Linked DNA regions of Xenopus tropicalis. The main gene of each other region encodes a partner of the protein of the gene in region 3 in a complex. Links are inferred from orthologs where the notes say so. Each region holds a gene or a part of one and is shown on either strand. Other genes may lie near its edges.

Evidence for each region. The genes of interacting proteins can lie anywhere in the genome.
Region 1: the proteins of bccip (region 3) and tent5a are in contact, whole or in part, in a crystal structure (PDB 8EXE), measured with the Homo sapiens proteins. The link is inferred for Xenopus tropicalis from reciprocal best matches to the Homo sapiens genes BCCIP and TENT5A. Residues at the interface, in NP_510868.1 of Homo sapiens: Val57, Asn58, Ile59, Glu60, Phe61, Glu62, Ala63, Tyr64, Ser65, Leu66, Gln146, Val149, Leu150, Phe152, Cys153, Glu154, Lys155, Asn156, Cys157, Glu158, Lys159, Glu163, Lys167, Leu203, Ala204, Ala206, Thr225; in NP_060103.2 of Homo sapiens: Arg87, Gly88, Asp139, Glu151, Gln155, Lys158, Lys184, Glu185, Val188, Gln189, Lys190, Met191, Val192, Lys193, Val194, Cys195, Asn196, Asp199, Trp201, Asn213, Arg289, Lys295, Glu331, Arg334, Gln341, Asn342, His343.
Region 2: the proteins of bccip (region 3) and tent5c are in contact, whole or in part, in a cryo-EM structure (PDB 8EQB), measured with the Homo sapiens proteins. The link is inferred for Xenopus tropicalis from reciprocal best matches to the Homo sapiens genes BCCIP and TENT5C. Residues at the interface, in NP_510868.1 of Homo sapiens: Val57, Asn58, Ile59, Glu60, Phe61, Glu62, Ala63, Tyr64, Ser65, Arg136, Gln146, Cys153, Lys155, Ala204, Gly205; in NP_060179.2 of Homo sapiens: Asp90, Asp92, Glu102, Gln106, Arg109, Lys135, Glu136, Val139, Gln140, Lys141, Leu142, Val143, Lys144, Val145, Cys146, Thr147, Asn164.

The regions. Positions count from the first base shown.
Region 1 is NC_030681.2:89,016,622-89,020,095, forward strand, and holds part of tent5a (terminal nucleotidyltransferase 5A), read left to right. Parts: intron 1-1,641; coding exon 1,642-2,421; 3' UTR 2,422-3,474.
Region 2 is NC_030678.2:2,829,581-2,833,233, reverse strand, and holds part of tent5c (terminal nucleotidyltransferase 5C), read right to left. Parts: intron 1,131-3,653; 5' UTR 1,104-1,130; coding exon 1-1,103. UniProt on the Homo sapiens protein: Catalyzes the transfer of one adenosine molecule from an ATP to an mRNA poly(A) tail bearing a 3'-OH terminal group and enhances mRNA stability and gene expression.
Region 3 is NC_030683.2:25,046,594-25,050,246, forward strand, and holds the end of bccip (protein BCCIP homolog), read right to left. Parts: intron 948-3,653; coding exon 777-947; 3' UTR 428-776; downstream 1-427. Other genes in the region: putative pre-mRNA-splicing factor ATP-dependent RNA helicase DHX32, read left to right, coding at 211-388. UniProt on the Homo sapiens protein: During interphase, required for microtubule organizing and anchoring activities. During mitosis, required for the organization and stabilization of the spindle pole.

The DNA.
Region 1 (3,474 bases), on a different chromosome or scaffold from region 3:
TATAAAAAAGGGCATTGACTCAAGGGATGAGAACATAATTTTGCCCCTTTATAGGTCCCTGGTAAGGCCTCACCTTGAGTATGCAGTGCAGTTTTGGGCTCCAGTCCTTAAGAAGGATATTAATGAGCTGGAGAGAGTGCAGAGACGTGCAACTAAACTGGTTAAGGGGATGGAAGATTTAAACTATGAGGTTAGACTGTCGAGGTTGGGGTTGTTTTCTCTGGAAAAGAGGCGCTTGCGAGGGGACATGATTACTCTGTACAAGTACATTAGAGGGGATTATAGGCAGTTGGGGGATGTTCTTTTTTCCCATAAAAACAATCAACGCACCAGAGGTCACCCCTTTAGATTAGAGGAACGGAGCTTCCATTTGAAGCAGCGTAGGTGGTTTTTCACGGTGAGGGCAGTGAGGTTATGGAATGCCCTTCCTAGTGATGTGGTAATGGCAGATTCTGTTAATGCCTTTAAGAGGGGCCTGGATGAGTTCTTGATCAATCAGAATATCCAAGGCTATTGTGATACTAATATCTACAGTTAGTACTAGTGGTTGTATTTATAGTTTATGTATGTGAGTATAGATTGGTAGGTGTGGGTTAGGTGTGCTGGGTTTACTTGGATGGGTTGAACTTGATGGACACAGGTCTTTTTTCAACCCTATGTAACTATTTATGGGAGCTGCCACACTGCTGCTGCGTCTTCTGAGGCAAAATGAAATCTTCACCATTGGCATTAAGGAAAGCAGTGCACCACCAAGCTGTCAGCCTGTCGCAGAAAGGGTAGAATGACTGCTAGGATTCACAATAAACTTGTAACCTAAGCATTCCTCAGGCTTGGCACTACTCTTGTTTTGTCTGACAATAAGCACCACTGCTGTCCTGTCCCAAAGCTTAGTGGTCACTATATAATGGTCACTTAACAAAAGAGCCCCAGAAAGAAATATGCCCTATGCGTGTCCTAATTGCTGTACGCCTGCTGTTTCTCATGCATCTGTTGCATTGTACCATCAGCTGGGGGGCTACAGTTTACATATACAGACGCCATATTTTCTCAGAGAAGAGTATAGCTTATAGAAGAGGGAGGGACATTTTCTTATAGTAAAATTATGGCTGAGGAAAAAAACTGCCTAAAATTAGTCATCATCTTTTGCCATAGCTTCATTGCACTCCTGCTATGCACTTTAATTAATCTGCATGCAGCCAGAGGGCCCTGTGGGATAGCACCTAAGCAAAGCTCTACTACACTAAAGAGGACTTTACCCTCTCAGTGCCAAGAAGGTCCGGGGCAACTTTTATAGTGCACAAGTTAAAAGGGTTTTTTAGGTTACTTATATTATTTAACCTGCAGTGATAGTGATTGTGGCTTTCTGTATTGAGAACACTTTAGTATTTGAAACATAGATTGTTTTTTTTTTCTATTATAAGACGTACAACTATACATATAAATAGATTTTGCTTCTTAAAGCCTTTACTTTCTGCTTTAACAACGTTAATGCTTCACAGTGCAGTGCTGTGGCTTTGTTTACCACAGGTTTTTTTTTTTAATTCCGGTGGTTTGCAGTTCATGTTAAGAAACAAGGATTGTTTATCTGTCTGGTTCTCACTTCACTTTTGTGATGGACTTGTTTTATATTTCACATTGCAGGAGGCCTATGTGCAGAAAATGGTAAAAGTCTGCAATGACTCTGATCGATGGAGTCTAATCTCCTTATCCAACAACCATGGCAAAAATGTGGAACTCAAGTTTATGGATTCTTTGCGAAGGCAATTTGAATTCAGCGTTGATTCGTTTCAGATTAAACTGGATTCTCTTCTGCTGTTTTATGAGTGTTCTCAGAACCCTATGACTGAAACTTTTCACCCAACCATTATTGGGGAGAGTGTCTATGGGGATTTCCAGGAAGCCTTTGATCACCTTTGTAACAAGATTATTGCCACCAGGAATCCTGAGGAGATCCGTGGAGGTGGCCTTCTCAAGTATTGCAACCTTTTAGTAAGGGGATTCAGGGCAGCTTCTGAAACAGAGATGAAGTCCCTGCAGAGGTACATGTGTTCTAGATTTTTCATTGACTTTTCAGACATTGGTGAGCAGCAAAGAAAGCTGGAGTCTTACTTGCAGAACCACTTTGTGGGATTAGAAGACCGCAAGTATGACTATCTCATGACTCTTCATGGTGTAGTCAATGAAAGCACAGTATGCTTGATGGGCCATGAAAGAAGGCAGACTTTGAGTCTAATCACCATGCTAGCAATCCGTGTCTTGGCTGAACAAAACATCATCCCTAATGTGGCTAATGTAACTTGCTACTATCAACCAGCCCCATATGTAGCAGATGCTAACTTCAGCAATTACTACATTGCCCAAGTTCAACCTGTTTTCACATGCCAACAACATACATACTCCACTTGGTTACCTTGTAATTAAGACAGAGTAAACGGTTATTAGGAGGAAAATGTTTCTTACACTTACAAAAAGGGGGAAACCGAGTTATTACAATGGGGTGCTATTTTGTGCAGTCATAATCTGCCCTAGGTTTGAATCTTTGTGAAGCTTGTGGTTCATGTGGTATACATGAGTGCAAGGCCTAAGCTAGAAGATTGTAATTGGGTTAAGCCCAAGAGCACAAGCAGCCTATTATGTTAGTGATCACCTCCCTTATTGCTTAAGGGATCAAATGGTGAACAAAAGTACAGGCTGGCAGTCCAGCTCTGTTAATATTTGAATTCAAAAAGGTTGATTAAGTTTCATGAAACTTATGCAAGGAAGTAAAAATTCTGACCGAAGGATTATTTTTGGATTTGAAACAAGTACCCTCTAAAAAACAAAGAATAACTGTTTGGTTGCAGGCAACCCCTATCCAGGGAGAATGGCACAGTTGCAAGAAATGATAAAACAAAATTGTGAATACATCATTCATATTTCATAGATGTGAATGTGAAAGAGTTTAGTGGTAGAAAAGAGATTGCTTGGACCAAAGATTTCTTAAAGATATATACCCTAGTCAACTGATAGAGAAGAGCATATGTGTGTACTTGTTACCTTACTGTATCAAAGTGCCTGTTGCCTTCATAAAATTAGGAAAATATTAGTTTTTTGATAACATCATTGACACATCTATTTTAGGTATACTAGGTAAGATAACATTTTACATTTGTGAAGCAGTGAAGTGAATGCCCTATTTTCCTTGGCAAATATTATATATAATATTATAAATATTATATATATTTATATAAAGAAGTTGCAGAGAGTAGATGTGTGATTAACATGGACACTCACAAGGATATATCAAATATGATTCAGCTAAATGTAGCATTTAGGAAGAGTTCATAAATACATGGGTTAGAACATTTGTACAGTACAAGCCCTGCAAATATTTCCTTGTCCACACCTGGCTATTATGTTTAATAAACCTTAAATGTTAAATCACCAGTGAAAAAGCAACCTAGATGAGTCATTTACTTATTTATGCAAATCAAA
Region 2 (3,653 bases), on a different chromosome or scaffold from region 3:
GCATCGCTGACGTAAGGGGCAGGCTGGTAATAGCAGGTGACGTTGGTGGCATTGGGGATAATGTTCTGCTCGGCCAGTACCCGCAGGGCAAGCAGAGAGATGAGGTTGAGGGTCTGTCTCCGCTCGTGCCCCATCAGGCACACCGTGCTCTCGTTGACCACCCGCCGCAGGATCATGAGGTAGTCGTACTTGCTCTTCTCCTCGCCCATGAAGTGGTTCTGCAGGTAGGACTCCAGTTTGCGCTGCTGCTCGAAGATGTCGGAGAAGTCGATGAAGAAGCGCGAGCACATGTAGCGCTCCAGCGACTTGATCTGCTCCTTGTCGGCCGGCTTGAAGTCCCGCACCAGCAAGTTGCTGTACTTCATTAGCCCCCCGCCTCGGATCTCCTCCGGGTTCTTGGTGGAGATGAGTTTGTTCCGGAGGTGGTGGAAGGCGGCCTCGAAGTCGCCGTACATGCTCTCCCCGATCACCGTGGGGTGGAAGTGCTCGGACATGGGGTTCTCAGAGCAGTCGTGGTAGAAGAGCAGCGAGTCCAGGATGATCTGGAAGGAGTCCACGCTGAACTCAAACTGCCGGCGGATGGAGGTGACGAACTTCAGCTCGATGTTCCTGCCGTCCTTATTGGAGAGGGAGATCAGGCTCCACCGGTCGGCGTCGGTGAAGACCTTCACCAGCTTTTGCACGTAGGCCTCCTTGAGAGTCAGGGGGCTGATTTTCTCTTTGTTGACCCCTTCGGGAAGAAAGTTCAAGAGCAAACCTATAACCACGTCCTTGACGAGCTGGAACTCCGCCTCGGAGGACAAGGAGACCCCAAAGATGAGGTCCAAGTCTTTGTACCCAAGTCCATTATCTTTGACCAGGACGTGGCTGGCAGCCGAGCCGTTGAGTCGGACATCGCGGACCTTGATGCCGGCCTCCTCCAGGCGGCTGCGCACTTTCTGCACAATGTCCTTCAGCGTGATCTTCAGGGTGGGGAAGTTGCCGCGGCCGTGGATCGGAACCACCTCGGTGAGGAAGCTGTTGAGGCGGCTGACTTGCTCCCACGTCAGGACGCTGCGGGATTTGGAAGAGACATCGGAGCTGTTGCCTTTCTGTTCTGCCATTGCAGGAGTTGGGTTGCTTATGGATACCTGGGTGGGAGAGGGAAGGAGATGTGAGTTGGGGGGGCAATAGTGGGGGTGCAGATATATCTGGGGGCTGTACTACATCTGCTCTTCCCTGGGTGCCATGCACACTACTGACAGGACTGCGGTGTCCAAAACCAGGGGAAACCCAGACAGTCATTTCAAAATGGGAAACTCAGGCACTCAGCACTTTCACAGCACCCACAGGTGGGGGGGGGGGGGGGGAAGCAGCAGCACCCAGAGAGCACCTGTGCCTGTGGGTGCAACAGTGAAGAGCATGAATAGTACAAGGGATGGGGCACATCTTGTAAGGGTCTTAAATACTAACCCCCCACCCACCAGTCAGTGGGGTGCCGCTGTCCAAGAGCTCAATTGCCCCCAGCAGGCTCCTGGGTCAGAGCGGCTATGTATTTTAGGAATTGATTTCCTTTACACCCACCCGTTTACTAACAGGGTAATACAAGGTCGCCCCGTGCCCCGCAGGTATGTGACCCACTAGCAGATTAGCGAATGATAAAGTGTGTGGAAAGAGCAAGGTCCAAACAGCCAGAGCCAGAATTCCCCAACCAATATGGCCGGGCGTGTACTAAAGCCTTCTGATCCGGGGCTTATCCCAAACATGCCCTGGGTACCCCTGGAACTATAGCAGGGTGACTGTTACCCCAATGTTTCTATATATCTGTAACCTTGTTATGGGCTAAGGGGGCCCAGCCTGAAGGCCAGTTAGGGGGGGATTTGGGGTGAGTGCTTATTTGTGCCCTGGGTACCCCTGGAACTATAGCGGGGTGACTGTTACCCCAATGTTTCTATATATCTGTAACCTTGTTATGGGCTAAGGGGGCCCAGCCTGAAGGCCAGTTAGGGGGGGATTTGGGGTGCTTATTTGTGCCCTGGGTACCCCTGGAACTATAGTGGGGTGACTGTTACCCCAATGTTTCTATATATCTGTAACCTTGTTATGGGCTAAGGGGGCCCAGCCTGAAGGCCAGTTAGGGGGGGATTTGGGGTGAGTGCTTATTTGTGCCCTGGGTACCCCTGGAACTATAGTGGGGTGACTGTTACCCCAATGTTTCTATATATCTGTAACCTTGTTATGGGCTAAGGGGGCCCAGCCTGAAGGCCAGTTAGGGGGGGATTTGGGGTGAGTGCTTATTTGTGCCCTGGGTACCCCTGGAACTATAGCGGGGTGACTGTTACCCCAATGTTTCTATATATCTGTAACCTTGTTATGGGCTAAGGGGGCCCAGCCTGAAGGCCAGTTAGGGGGGGATTTGGGGTGAGTGCTTATTTGTGCCCTGGGTACCCCTGGAACTATAGCAGGTTGAACGAAGATGCAATTTAGAGCCGCAGCTCCTTGGGCAGAGCACACAGTAGTAGTTACAGGGCAGGGGCTACTGTACAGAGATGATCTGTTTATTATCGTATATTTTACACCACTTGTACCTTGTTCAAAGTCAACTCGGCTGTTGTAACCGAGATCTTATCCAAGGGAAAGGCCAGAATCCTCCCAGACTGCTCTGGGCAACTTCATAGGAATGGGGGAGTTTACTGGGCAATAGTTATAGCATTAAAGGGAACTCTCATATAATCTTGTGAGGCCACGAAAACTCCGCAAAGAAAGGAAACAGAAGGCTACAACCGTGCAACAATAGATTTAACACTACATTTGCAATCAGTAGCTAGAATCTCAGCCATAAAGCAGGGCAGGACTGCTGCTTACAATGGGGGGGGGGGGGGTCAGATAGGGTCTGTGCCACTGTGACAGAATGCTCTGTTATACAGATAGCTAGAATCTCAGCCATAAAGCAGGGCAGGACTGCTGCTTACAATGGGGGGGATCAGATAGGATCTGTGCCACTGTGACAGAATGCTCTGTTATACAGATAGCTAGAATCTCAGCCATAAAGCAGGGCAGGACTGCTGCTTACAATGGGGGGATCAGATAGGATCTGTGCCACTGTGACAGAATGCTCTGTTATACAGATAGCTAGAATCTCAGCCATAAAGCAGGGCAGGACTGCTGCTTACAATGGGGGGATCAGATAGGATCTGTGCCACTGTGACAGAATGCTCTGTTATACAGATAGCTAGAATCTCAGCCATAAAGCAGGGCAGGACTGCTGCTTACAATGGGGGGATCAGATAGGATCTGTGCCACTGTGACAGAATGCTCTGTTATACAGATAGCTAGAATCTCAGCCATAAAGCAGGGCAGGACTGCTGCTTACAATGGGGGGGATCAGATAGGATCTGTGCCACTGTGACAGAATGCTCTGTTATACAGATAGCTAGAATCTCAGCCATAAAGCAGGGCAGGACTGCTGCTTACAATGGGGGGATCAGATAGGATCTGTGCCACTGTGACAGAATGCTCTGTTATACAGATAGCTAGAATCTCAGCCATAAAGCAGGGCAGGACTGCTGCTTACAATGGGGGGATCAGATAGGATCTGTGCCACTGTGACAGAATGCTCTGTTATACAGATAGCTAGAATCTCAGCCATAAAGCAGGGCAGGACTGCCCTAGCT
Region 3 (3,653 bases):
ATCTCCCCGTGTGCCAGAGCCCTAAAACAACTGAACCGCTGTTGTTACTTATAGAACCAATTAGTAGTTAACATGTTTGGGTTTGGTTCAGTTGAAATAGTGAGGGGTGATAGTGGATTCGTTGCAAGCTTTTGTTTATGTTACGATATAGCCTCAATGGATACATATGTAACCTCAGGATTAATGGGGAAAAACTTTATTTTTCATTAGGTTCATGGAGTTCGTTCCCCCGTACTACTTCAGCAACCTGCCCCCTAGTGAGACTAAAGAGCTCCTGCAGCAGCACCAGACTGTGCCCAGTTCCCCGGCTGAAGAGCCCGGAGAAGAGGAGCCCCTACCTGATGCCGATGATGAAGGTGCAACAGAACAAAGATGCATTATACAATGACCTTGGCTAATAGAGAAAACTCCAGGAGTGCAATACATGTCCAAAAGGAAAGGAAAACTTTAATGAACTGATTTCTTTTTTTGTAAATGTTATAGGAATCCGAGTAACCCTTTTCCTCCCCTCCCTGTGTCTGATCAAATAAATGATATAGTGAACCCTGTGTTGTACTCTCTCCCTGCCGGGGACTGAACGCCTGCTCTAAAGGGACCTTGTCTTTAATTACACTAATGAAATCTCCCAGAACCCTTGCGTGGTCTCGCCGGAGCCGACAGCGGATACAAAAGATGAAATGAATGACTACGATTGTACGCGCACGTTTATAAAAATTAATTAGTCTCTATGATGTTATCGGCGTTCGGGTACATAGTTCTGTTTGGAGGGAAACGGTTCACACGGAGAGGTATTCTTTGAACTTGTCCATGATTGAATTCATCCTGTCGGCGGGAACCAACATCACCGTCCTCAAGGGTTTCATGGGCACGTCGGAGAAGGACCATCGGCCGCCCAGCTGCGTGTCGCTCTCCTCCTGCACCGAGTAGCTGAACTTCAGCAGAGCTTTCTGCACATGAAAGAAAGGGAAATATACAGGTAAAACGTTCATTAGCAGGGAACAAGGTTCTCTTTCTAGAATAGCAGGAGCTAACCTTCACACTTTGCAGCAAGCTAATATATCTGCACTGATGGGAACATAAAACATCCAAAATTAAATCTGCCTAAAGTGCTCCGCTGAGCACTTTGCAGTTCTTTTTCATTGTCATTTTTATGGGGCCTCCCCCTCCCTTTCCCTCGGCCGTCTGATAGCAAGCAGTTAAGTGAACACGCAGGCACCTTTGGCATATTTAACTTCCCATAAGCCCCTTCACAATCTAATTTGGTTTCTTTATACTATTTAGCAGTTCGTATCACTCCCCTATTGATAAACTATGCTACCTTGGAGCGAGTTTCCCCCATCACTAGGATGACCCACTAGGATACCAGGGAAATTCCCCAGGTGTCAGTGTCTTATGAGCACAGCCCGCTGATACCATTTCTTTGTTATAAATTAATGTAAAGTGCTGTGAAACGTGCTGGCCCTATAGAAATGATAGATAAGTTCAGCTTTGTATAGGTGTCCCATGGCCAATCCCTCTACGAGAGCAAAGATGAGAAATGGAGGAAAGACATAAATATAGTATGGAGAGTGGGCCAGCTATCTAAGGTTATCTGGTGGGGCCCCTAGCACCCAGTCCAACACTGTCCTTCATAGACCCCTTAAAGAAAAAGGAATGGTACAATCACTGGGAGGGGGGGGGAGAGCCTCCTATGATGATGGCATTCAGTTGTCCCGTTCTCTGAATGCCCAGCCATCCAAAGAAATGAACAAAATGGGCATGCAAAGAACTGAATGCCAGGGGTGCATAATCTATGTTAAGATACAGATATTAACAAGAACTAAAGATTTGGGGTGGAAGAAAACAACCTATTACAATCAGCCAAATTTTGAAAAACCTCCCCACTAAACCCTAGATGCCAGCTTCCACCCTACACAGAAACAAATGTGCCATTCCTGCTGGGCACAAAGTGGTGCCTATAATATATGCCTCATAGGCCCTTTACAGTTAGTTTGGGGTTTTTGGGTTTTTTTTTTCTGGGGTCAGTGACCCCACACAACCATGTTTGGTTGCTGAGGGTAAGAAAGATAATTTTTTGAAAACCATAAAAAATAAGGAACAAATCAAAAGACGTTTAGAAAAGGGCCATAAATACAATGCCACGTGTTTATTTAAAGGAGAAGTTCCCCTTCAACAAAAGCCAATGGGATGCAGGCTAGGCCCCGTTACACAAACAAGTTAGAGATGACAGGGATCTCTCTGGACACGCTTTAAAATGTTAATAAAGAGCCAGAATCCCAGCTGTTTCCTCAGGTCTGGCTGAGATAAAGTAATTAATAAGCTCTAATTATTACATTCTGTATCTAAAGTGCAAGGTTGCAGAGCCTTCCTATATCAAGTTATCAGTGTGCACAACTAGGGAACCCTGCGATACATTGAAATATACATATGCAGTTTTAATTAAATGAAATTGAGCGTGCAGTAAATGGACGAGATTCTCCTCTCGCAGAAATATGCTGTTATAAAGTGGATTTTATGCCTATATTAAAAGCCGGTTTAATGGGGTGGAATACTTCTCTATGGTTGAAAGGCAAAGTGAGATATTGCTAGCATCCCGTGATAAAATGGAAAGTTATTCCTCTACAACGCAATGCTGGAAGCCCCAATGTCCTTGTGTAGGAACTGTTCTGGCTCTTAAACCATCCTTTATATATATATATATATATATATATATATATATATATATATATATATATATATATATATATGTGCTTTAGGAATAATATCACTACATAATGGATAGACGTATGTGTTGTTCAGGGGGTGAGAAGCAAAAATCTTGTTACTGCACAGGAATCTGTGAAATGTTTTGTGACCTGAGAAGTCATGCTATATCCCTAGAACCGAAGTTCTAGAACAGAGAAAGGGAACTTGTGGCATTTATGGCATAACAGCAGTTAATGCAACAGCAGCATTTTTAGAGTTCTCTGGAGAACTCTGCTTCACGGACCCTCTTGCTCACCCCAGCTCTGCAGAAATGAGCAATACAGAAGTCTGCTATATTGCCCCCCTTGCCTGTCCCTGCTCTAGAGAAGTCTGCTATATTGCCCCCCTTGCCTGTCCCTGCTCTACAGAAGTCTGCTATATTGCCCCCCTTGCCTGTCCCTGCTCTAGAGAAGTCTGATATATTGCCCCCCTTGCCTGTCCCTGCTCTAGAGAAGTCTGCTATATTGCCCCCCTTGCCTGTCCCTGCTCTACAGAAGTCTGCTATATTGCCCCCCTTGCCTGTCCCTGCTCTAGAGAAGTCTGCTATATTGCCCCCCTTGCCTGTCCCTGCTCTAGAGAAGTCTGCTATATTGCCCCCCTTGCTGGTCCCTGCTCTAGAGAAGTCTGCTATATTGCCCCCCTTGCCTGTCCCTGCTCTACAGACGTCTGCTATATTGCCCCCCTTGCCTGTCCCTGCTCTAGAGAAAACTGCTATATTGCCCCCCTTGCCTGTCCCTGCTCTAGAGAAGTCTGCTATATTGCCCCCCCTTGCGGGTCCCTGCTCTAGAGAAGTCTGCTATATTGCCCCCCTTGCCTGTCCCTGCTCTACAGACGTCTGATATATTGCCCCCCTTGCCTGTCCCTGCTCTACAGACGTCTGATATATTGCCCCCCTTGCCTGTCCCTGC